2 linked regions of the Coturnix japonica genome follow. The protein of the gene in region 2 purifies or fractionates together with the protein of the main gene of each other region. This does not show direct contact. Links are inferred from orthologs where the notes say so. Each region holds a gene or a part of one and is shown on either strand. Other genes may lie near its edges.

Region 1 (5,458 bases), on a different chromosome or scaffold from region 2:
TTTTTCCAAATTTCACTCTTTTTCCACAAGGAACACATGACTCTGGTTTGATAACCTAATGATTCAGAGCGTACAGACAGAAAGAAATTAGCGCCTTGTAGTAACTCAGCTTAAATAGCATAACCAGGCAGATAACAGACACAGTGAATATTGATTCGGGATGTAATGGTTGGTAGTTTCTTATCAATAGCTTGCTATCACACACATTTAATGAAAGTAGATACTTTTCAAGTTGTTTTCCCCCTGCCCCCACACATACACACACAGAGGGTGGTGATGCACTGGAACAGGTTGCCCAAGGAGGCTGTGGATGCCCCCATCCCTGCAGGCATTCAAGGCCAGGCTGGATGTGGCTATGGGCAGCCTGGTCTGGTGGTTGGCAACCCTGCACATAGCATGAGGTTCAAAATATATGATCTTTGAGGTCCTTTTCAACCCAGGCCATTCTATGATTCTTCTTGCCTGCAAACCTACCGTCTTTGATACGAAGTCATGCAGCCTCACTCCCCCGTTGCTCTGTGGGGTGACAGAACCATTGCTCTCTGATTTGGATTCCACCTGCTTAAAGCCTAAGCTTGTCTCACTGCTCCAAGGCTGCAAAGGACCTAGAAAACAGAAGAGGAGCATTGTCTAGATGGGAACCGTACCCTAGTGCATTCCGTGCTCCAGACAACATGCACTACAAATCAGAGGCAGCAGCTTAAGTGGTGGAGCATAGGAAATTACAATGACAGGACACCCTCCAGCCTGCTAAGCACTGATTTAGGACAACAAGCTGACACCTACCACTCTTTCTCTGGCTTCTCAGGCTGTAGGGCACAGTCTGAATGGTAGAGATGGCTTCAATAGGACCACCATCACTGGGAACCATGAAAGTCGTCTTTGCCACTATGGATTCATTTCCCTGTAGCAAGAAGTGTGTTGTTGGTGACAGCAATGCTGACAGGACAAGGATTTAAGTCTGTTGGCCCTGGAAGCAGGTGTGCACTGTGGCCAACTGCTTTAAACACACACACAGCCAGCTGGGATCACTATACCTGGTCTGCTGTGGAGCCAATTGATCTGATTTTCTTCTCAGGAGCTGGTGGGCCTTCAGCATGCTGCCTGGAAGAGCGCTGAAAAGACACAGTATTTTAGTCTAAAAGGCAGGTAATACTATTAACTTAGTGATGTATTTTAACCACTCTCTTGCAGACTCAAGTTCATAACAAGATACCTGAAACTCCACTCATTATGCCCTGTGGAAAAACAGTATCAGAAATAACTTTCACACCAAATCTACACAGCAAGTCTGAATCACATCCATCAAGGTTTTGTGACTAGCACCTACCCATCACAGGTGACACCAGTTAATGCTAACAACAGTATCTATGTGAAGGGAAAGAATTGAACATACCCTCTTCTCTCTCCTCTTCAGTCTGACAGTTTTCACTGCAGAGGAATCCCAGTCCTGTGGAAAACATGCAGCACTGGTTAGCTCAGCGTAAACACCACACCACCTCTGGTCCACACCTCCATTACGTTTTACCCAATAGCACAGCAGAGATATGCAGATCAGCTCTACCAATTTAATACCACAGTAATCTAAACACAAGAGGTCTCTAGAGATTACCCCGCAGGTTTAAGATTTCATAGTTTAGAACTTGGAATTACATTACCAGTGAATCATCAGTCTTGTCAAAGCTGATGTCTGACAGAATTGAGCCAGATTCATCTATTGTAGACAGTCTAAAAACCAAGAATTAGAAGAAGCATGCATCAGTTTGGCTTTCAGGCAGCTGTGGTCCCAAAGCAACCTTAGGCAAAAGAGCTCTATTTCAAACTGGAATAAAAGTAAAACTGTTGATATGGATGCAACATGTATCTCAGACACACGCAGGCAGACCAGTAGCTGTCACTTATGCTGTTCAGACAAAACCATTCTGCCTACCTCTTGTTGCCTGAACCTCCTACAGAAACCTGTGGTTTGTTAAGGAAGGCAAGGGCAGACTTCTGTTCTTCACTTAGCTGAATGCTCCCAGATGCATCACACATGAGCAGCTCTCGAATCAGTTGTATTTGCCTCTCCTGAAAAGAAAGATAATATCAGAAGCCGTTTAATTACATGAACCAATCTCAGGTATTTGAGATACCACACAGATAGGCTCTCACAAATTGCTAAGAGCAAGTCCAGCACTCAAGCTGCTGATATCTGCAAAGCCCAGGCTCTGAAACAGCAGCCCTTCGCCTTCCAGACAAAAGCAGAAGGCCATTACAAGGAGCCAGATCAACCCATCACTGACTTGTTTTTATTCCCCCTATTGTTTCCACACCCCCCCCCCCCCGGTTAATTGCAGTTTAACCACCTTCTCTCCACATCAACTAGAGCTAACCAGTAATAAAAGAAACACTCACCAGCCTGTCACAGTCTGCTTCAGCTTTTTGCCTGCGTTTGATCTCTACATCCACTTGATTGCGCGCATGTTTCAGCTTCACGTCCAAAGCACTACGTTCAGCTTCACTTTTCATCAGCAGGTCTTTGTATCTTCCAAGCTCCTGCTCAGTTTTCTGCCACTTCCTTCGATAGTCTTCAAAGTTCTTCGCCAGCTGAATAAATTCTGGAGAAAAGATACATCACTCAGATTAAGAGAGGAGATGCAACAGCTCTCCTATAATTGAGGGCAGACTTCTAATAATTAATTAATTAAAATCTCTATTAATTGAAACATGGAGAAGCTGGCCTTGCAGCAAACCCCACTACACTCTGGATGTTCCCAAGATGTCACCACCTTTGCAGACCAAGTCTCAGCAGCAGCATCAAGCAGCAGATACCTCATGTGAGACCCTGACAAAGGCAACTTGCTTTCACCCTATGACTCCCTATTTCTCAACAACAGGAAAAAGAAACAACCTTCAAATCTGGCTGCCTGGAAGAGTGTTATTACTCAAGACCTCATCAACAGATCCTTCAATAACAGCTAGCAATGCTTGCTGCAAGAATATAAACACACAGATGCTGCTTGATGTCTCAAAACTTACGGCATTCATTCCCCTCGCTTAAAACTTCAGCCTGGCGTATGAGTTGGTCACACAAATTCCACAGGTTCCTCATTGTGGTATCCATCCTCCTGCCAAGAAAACAGAACTAAATCAACACCTCCAAATGAAAAATGCATTACCAGCCCCAAAAAAGAGAGAATTTGCTTCAGAATTCTCTTTTCTTTAGGCAAGATGTAGCAGCTGCACACACACAAAAAAAAGATGTTAGGCTTTATGAAGAGATGTGCATCTAAATTCTTAGGGGGCAAAGGCACTCAGCCCTCCAGAATTTAGTATTAGAGCAGCACAGCTTCCCAAACAGCCTCCAGTTTACTACAGAGGAGGGATCACAAACCATTTTCCTTCTGCCAGGCTGCAGGACGTGGCTCGGGCCCACTCCGGTGCTATATAGGCCACCAGAAATCTGTAAGCATTCAGAGCAACACGAGGTAAAAATAGAAGCAGCATTCAGGGGGAATTTCAATGCCGTTTTATATTTAGCTCCACTTTAAGTTACAGCTCCTGCTGCAAACGGCCTTGGAAATGCAGGCAGTCAGCACAAATCCCTCAAACAGCGAAAACAACGGCATAAACAGGAGCAGCCAAGAGGAAAGCCTCGAGCTCAGCAGCACAGAACGCAGTTCTTTAATACAGAAGGGGGCACTCAGGACAGGCTTGGTTAATGAATGAGCTCCAGGTGAAGGGGCGGCTGTGAAGGATGGCTGGGAGTGGCACCAGGAGGGGCACAACGCCCTGTTACAATGCTTGGTTATAACCCCACACACATTGGGGTTTTCTGCATGGAAAAGCAAAGCTCTGAGGACACTCCATAGCCCTGTGTCTCACTCCCCAGCACCTCAATACACCCACAGCTCCATATGGAGCCCTCACAGCCTCTTCATAGGGCACAACGGGTGGGACAGCCCTGAGGTAACAGGCCTCGGGCCTGCCCTGAGGTAACAGGCCTCGGGCCTGCCCTGAGGTAACAGGCCTCGGGCCTGCCCTGAGGTAACAGGCCTCGGGCCTACCCCGCGCCACACACACCGGGAGGCTGCCCGGCAATAGGGCCCCACCGAGCCTCCTCAGCTCAAGATCAGGGCCCTGCAGACCACCTCCCTCAGCCCAGGACCCTGCTGATGCCCCCCAATCCCATATCGAAGCCCCTTAGACCCCTCCCCAACCCGGCTTCCCCCCGCGCACTCACCCGCTCCGAGCTCCCACTCCAACAGCCGGCTTCAACTGCCCCGCGATTCGGTTTGAATCCCTGCCGCCGGCCAATCACAGGGCGCTCTCCACCCTTCTGGTTTCTGATTGGTTCTGCTCGCCGTGTGTCTGAAGCCAAATTGGCGCCATGTCTGCTAAGGGCAAAGCTTTTTCCCTTCCTCTGATTTCCGGGTTTGACAGATGGTGAAGTCGGCTAGGCGCCATGTTTACTATTGGCAGTTGCTTCCAGCCCTTGTTGCTTAGCAACAGAGCAGGCAGGGATGGCGGTGGGGCCTGGACCCCCAACCCAAGGGCTGCTCCTTCTGCATTAACCCTGAACGCAGCCATTGGCAGCACAGGGGTATTTTGGGGGAAGAAATGCTATTCTCAGGCCAAGCCCTGGCTGTAACTGTGCTAAACCAATGACACAAAGCATGGCAGGGTTCCGAGTCCCCTGTGCATTGGTGACATCAGGCATTCAATGTGCCCCAAAGCTATTTCAGATAACAAAAGCTTTCCAGAAGGCCTTTGGTTCAGTGTTGTCCCTTGAGAAGAATGATGCCGTGGCCTTTTGTCTTCTATTTGAGCCAACAGACCCACAAGCCAAAAGGCAAAGCCTCATTTCATTCCTCCTCCCATTTGCAAGCCTTTAATACAACTAAAAACACAAACCAAAACCCAACGATTTACAAGAAAGCGGAATCACGCAATGGCAATAAAACAGCAATGCACTTTAATCTTTGAAATCTGAAACAAAACCAGCGGGTAATTGGAGAATGGATATTAGCAATTAGAAAGCGGAACTAAATGCTGGAAATTACTAAGTGGGAAAAGGGAGTTCATAAAAGCAGATTGCACTCAAAGATCCAGATGCTTCGTCAGGACTGTGTTATTTGGGCTATATAGTCTGCTTTAACTTCATAATTAATTCATGATGGGTTGCAAAAAAGCCTTGAGGTTCCCTGAAGAGTAAACATCAAGGAGGTACCTAGAGGAGAAGTGGTCAGAATTATCCGTGTTTACGGAAGAAATGAGGCCTGGAGGAGAAATGCCTCATCCTCTGTGCCAACAGCAAAGCAAAACGAAGATGCCAACCTTGATATTTGACCTTGTGACACGCACAAAAATCATCCAAAACCCCAATTTTGCTCCAGTCTGGAAAAGAAGACCAGACTTGGTCCCGTTGGAGCCTCTGGTGCACCCCCAAAGCATTTTGTACCCCCATTTCTGGGGAGAT
Region 2 (5,031 bases):
TGATGATGTATACACAAAATAATGACTAAGTTCAAGAAAAGCATTTTCAGACTCTAAAATCTCCTTTGAATCCAACAGCACAAAACTTGCAAGTCCAATCTCTCAGCACATGGGGTCAAACATACCTTTCTGTAAGGCACAAGCCTGTAGCACAAATACAATGCCAGAAATAGGATTTGACAGGGTTATCACAAGTTTACCACAGAGGTGTTTGCTTTACCTTAATTAGTTTTGTTTCAATCTCCCCATCAGAGGCTAGCTCCTGGTGCGTCAGCATGTACTTGTCACACTTAGCTAGTGCCTTTTCACTTGCAGCTGCTACTGTGATGGCATGAGGGACATGTGGTTGCATGACTGTGTCAGTGGGCAGATTAGAAGGTGGCTTATGATCTACCCATCTCTCCCCAGCTGAGCGCGACCGTCTGTGCCTGAGACGAACTGGAGGCGCGTTCTGATCAGAGTGGAAAGAGAATCAGAAGAAATCAGCACACAGTAAGCTTCTCAAAGGATATCATTAGCAAAACTGATTTTCGCAGGTCTGGTTAAGATGTAATTATTTGAAGATCAAAGCTTTGTTCCTTTTAGAATCCACCTGAAACATACTGCTCCACAAGCCTTGCAAAAAATACTTAATGGATTATTTCTGTGCCAACTGTTTCCCACTAATTTGATGTGGTTTTATCCAATCAGTTGCACTCCCTGCATAGCAGGGTTTCCACAAGGAGAACATCTTTCTCTTTGGCAGCACTCTTCCCAGATTTCCCAGATCTGATTGCCATGAACATATTAACCGACCTGAAAAGATAAATTTGGAAGTGTTTCCACAGATGCTCTAATGGATCAAGATGTAATCTTGATGTAGCAAAGGGAACAGATTGAGTATGGATTTCCAGCACCTCTGGTAGAGACAAAGCCTCTGTTTACTCAGAAGTATTACGAGCAGAGAAAAAAAGTAGAGTGCCCTTTGCTAGCATTACTGCTTCCAAGTCCAGCTGCTGGAAATCCACACAAAGCAATGGAAGTTCATAGATTTTTAACTTATGCTCATGAACGTTGTCAGTTGCTCAGGTAAACCAGAAAATTGTTTAAAAACCTAAGTCCTTTCAAAATCCTTGAACAGGCATTTGAAAGAACACTGCAGGCTCTCTCTGTTCTATTTACTCACTAATGTACAGACCTCTGTAAATCGTAGTGATGTTAAATAACCCAAAGCTACAAACGCAGATTCCTCCACTCTGCTTTCAGGTGATGAGCAGCAATTGGGATTTCTCTCAGCAACAGCCATGAGACTAGCTGTGCCCTTCACAAGTAAAGCTCTTACTACAGCAGCTTCTAAAGATTAAATGAATACAGAGATTCGTGGCTTTCAAAGTTGTTTTACATGAACATTAGGAATAAGACACTCAAGAGTTCTCCTCTTTTTAGTGGAGTAGTGGGAAGTAACTCTGCCAGGGTGCCCTAGAAATCTACAAGTCCAAAGGAAGACATTACTACCAGTCACATTTTATTGTGGGAGAGAATGTGTCCCATAATCCGATGCTGGTGATTTGTGTTTTATTTAACTGGAACAGCATTTGCTTAAATCCCTTCCCATACTTCAGAATTCCTGTTACTTGCTAGCCCTTTGAAAACACTGCCCCAAAAATGAATCCCACCATGATAAGCTTCCCTCTTCTCGGGAAGGCCTCTCAAGAGCTCTGATCCTGGGAGTATGATGTAGTACAATACTCATGGCTTTACCTGAGCCACTGTGACAGTTACATCATGATAGAGACACCGCGGATACAAACATTTGCACACAGTAATTTGATGGAAAAGCATCTCTCAACTACAAGCAAAGCCCCCAGTTTTAATGCAGATGTGAAGATTTGGAAAGACTATTCTAGGAGAACAAAAGTTAACAGCTATTCAAGTGAGGAGTTTGCCTAAGCACTATTTCTAGCAGACATTTGCATGTGGCTGGCTCATAAGACCACCTTTTAAGCTGCCCAAAAAGGATTACAGCAAGTTGCAGGCTGTAAGATAGATTTGAGGAGACAGACACAAATTAAAACAAAAACATTTAGAGCTAGGAAAAAAAGAAAAGCCCATTTAGTTCAGAGCTCCTTTCCGCAGCTATTTACACACTAACCAGAAATGGAAGTGCTTTCTAAAGATTTTTAATGCCAAATTAAAGATTTAAAGAGTGAGACTCAACTTGGAAACCGCACTCCCCTACATTTAGGGGAAAATGCTAAAACCTCTTTTACACTCAGTGTAAGAGAGCAGTTGTGATGAACTTTTGAGCCAGACTACGTAACACTACATGCAGCTTTTGACAGGAGCAGCACTAACCCTGCAGCATTGATCCTCTTCTATTTCTAGCTCATCTCTACGCTTGGGAACCTCAGTGATTCCAGTCCAGCACATCCCTCGCCTTCTGTCTGAGGTGTTACAGTCTCTACTTTGTCCTGGTTCTTGTTGTCTAGTCCTTGTTTTAGAAATGCCACCGGTATGCTTGTGCGAAGGTGTTTTCTGCTCCCACTCCATAACACAGGAAGCCACAGAAATGCTGCTACAAGAATTTGAACGTCTGTGCACCTGCTGGTTGCTCACGAACTGCTGGCTGTTAGGAACCTGAGTAATAAAGTTACTAGAAGGCTAAAGAGAATGGGAAAGCAGTTAACAACACAGAACTATCAGCTCACAAGGCAATAAGACAGCGTCACTGCACATTGTCAATATTCAATGTAGCTACCGAAATTCATGGCTTCGGAGAGCAGTGACAGCACTAAGAATCAGACGATCTTCAACTTTGAAGGCATTAGGAAAGTAGGAGCACAAATAAAAAACACAGATACAAATACAAGAGGAGAAGGAGAATTCAAAAGCAGTTTAAACCCAAATTCTGTGCTTGGGAAACATTTTCTAGCCACTAGAGAAAAGAGCTTTGTATTTTATTTCATTTTTACAAGTACTCGTGTCCCTTTACCAAGTAGTGCACTAAAGGCAACTCACAGGTACTGGTGGTGGAGAGATTGACCTCTGAATAGGCTTCTCTCTGTCTCTCTCCCGTGAAGGCCTCTCTGGCTTTTCGCTCTTTGGTTCAGTAACAATGGCCTTCAGCTGCTTCAGTTTTTCATCTTTGACCCAAAGTTTGTTCTGCATTTCCAGCTGCTTTGCTGCTACACGACGCTCCTACAAAGACCAAGAGAAGAAAAGCTTTACAGACACAGAGTAATTGGGTTACAAGTTTGCAAATAATTCTATATTCTACATGGAAGGACATTCTTTCCCTCTGAGATACAAGCTGATGAAAGTAATGATGTAAACAAGCTAACAAAAAAGACTGCCAAGGTTATGTCTAACACCATAAATAATTTGCTTCCTAAATTATGAGGGTAAATCAGACCGTTGTCTAACTGTAGATCTAATGATAGCCCTGAAGAAGTAAACAGTCCTGTAGTAGAGCAAATTAATTCCTCAGATTTTCTTTCCTTATTGCTCATGAAGGGCATATCTGAACAAGAGTTTACATGAGGATAATGGGGAAAGCCTGATATTAGGCTTCTCCTGACAGCTGCCAGAACAAAAGAATCACTCCTCAGAGAGCCATAAACCCAAAAGAACAAGTTCCAGATACCAAAACAAAGTGCACAAGAGAGCTGCTCTAGTTGCATCATGGGCCATTGAGGAATTCATCCCATCATACAACATTTATATAAGAAGAAAATATCTGTTCAAGTCCCCAGTTAAAATCCAAATGTATCTTCACTCTTAATAGTATTAAGAAAAAAAAAGAAAAACCTTAAAAAACAAGCAAGCTCCCCAACTCCCTCCAGCATTATTCCCTTAGACAGCTCTCATACGTAGGGCAGTATACTCACACACTCCTTCTCCCACTTCATGGTTGTTTCAGCAACCATGCCTTGCAGCCGTGCCTCCAACCTACGCTTGTCAGAAGCCTGACGTTGCAGTTTCTGGCTCTGGCTTTCAAGTTCTTGCTGAAGGTGACGCTTATCTTCTTCATAAATAGTAGCAGTTTTCTCTAAAATCTCAATCTGGAGGAAGAGAGGAAGATCTTTGTTATGGCCCCAGGCAACACAACCATCTAAGCCCAGAAGCACAAGTGATGTTTGCTTGTGCTAGAATACATTTGTTATCCGTTAGAAAACTAACCTTGTATTCCAAAGTTTTAATTTTCTTCTCCATCCGTTCTAACTCCGTTTTCTGTCCTGTTATTATTTTCTCTTTTTCAGACAATTTTCCTTGCACATAGTTTTCTTTGGACATAATGCTGGAATCAAGTTCTCGCAGTATAGTTTTAAATGTAAGCGCTGCAAGAGAGTCAACATACTTTACTTTCTCATCCTGTCTCCTATTAACTTGATACTACCAGCTACTTCAATTACCTCAATGAGAGGGTTTTTAAACCATCAACCTAAACAAGATCATTGTTCCTCATTAGTACATAAGAAATGTTTGAATAGCAACGAGGGCACCAAAAATCGAGCTCTATGTCAGTGCTCAAATTCTTACCATTTTTGGCAAACTCCTCTGACAACTTTTGTCGTAGTTTATGGCGTTCTTCCAGGACTTCAGCAAGCTTTGGAAGTGTTTGATCGTCATTAATGTCTAATAGCTCACATGAAGGCAGGGGAGGAAAGCTCGGCAATAATATTTCTAAAGCAGATTGCTCTTCTGTTTCTGTAAGATTTAAAGCCAAGGAAGTCTGTCAGCAAGCTAGAGAACAAAGTTCTCATATGACAGTGCACAGCCACAGATCATTCCACAGAATTACGAAGGAGACAGAATGTAGAATTATTAAGGAGAGCTACATGTTTTCAGAATAGATGACAGTATTGAGAACAGATTAAATGTGACATTTTTGATTCATTCCTTACAATACCTCCAGGCAAGTCCTAATTTCTAAAGCAAACCCAGAGCATACAAGAGCGAAGTATTATCTTCAGCACAGTCTCTTTTCCAGAGCTGCAGTAATGGGACCCTGAATTCAGCTCATCATCAACAACAAAGAATTACTTTGAGAAT

Evidence for each region.
Region 1: the proteins of KIF23 (region 2) and RACGAP1 purify together in Homo sapiens (co-immunoprecipitation; 10 studies listed by BioGRID and IntAct, counting the BioPlex papers as one, with this or other methods). This does not show direct contact. The link is inferred for Coturnix japonica from reciprocal best matches to the Homo sapiens genes KIF23 and RACGAP1.

Annotation. Positions count from the first base shown.
Region 1 is NC_029544.1:383,010-388,467, reverse strand, and holds the start of RACGAP1 (rac GTPase-activating protein 1), read right to left. Parts: upstream 3,470-5,458; 5' UTR 3,374-3,469; intron 3,108-3,373; 5' UTR 3,104-3,107; coding exon 3,019-3,103; intron 2,598-3,018; coding exon 2,395-2,597; intron 2,068-2,394; coding exon 1,931-2,067; intron 1,729-1,930; coding exon 1,659-1,728; intron 1,451-1,658; coding exon 1,397-1,450; intron 1,116-1,396; coding exon 1,038-1,115; intron 905-1,037; coding exon 787-904; intron 606-786; coding exon 475-605; intron 56-474; coding exon 1-55.
Region 2 is NC_029525.1:17,549,880-17,554,910, reverse strand, and holds part of KIF23 (kinesin-like protein KIF23), read right to left. Parts: intron 4,687-5,031; coding exon 4,519-4,686; intron 4,317-4,518; coding exon 4,159-4,316; intron 4,041-4,158; coding exon 3,867-4,040; intron 3,178-3,866; coding exon 2,998-3,177; intron 2,641-2,997; coding exon 2,335-2,640; intron 452-2,334; coding exon 221-451; intron 1-220.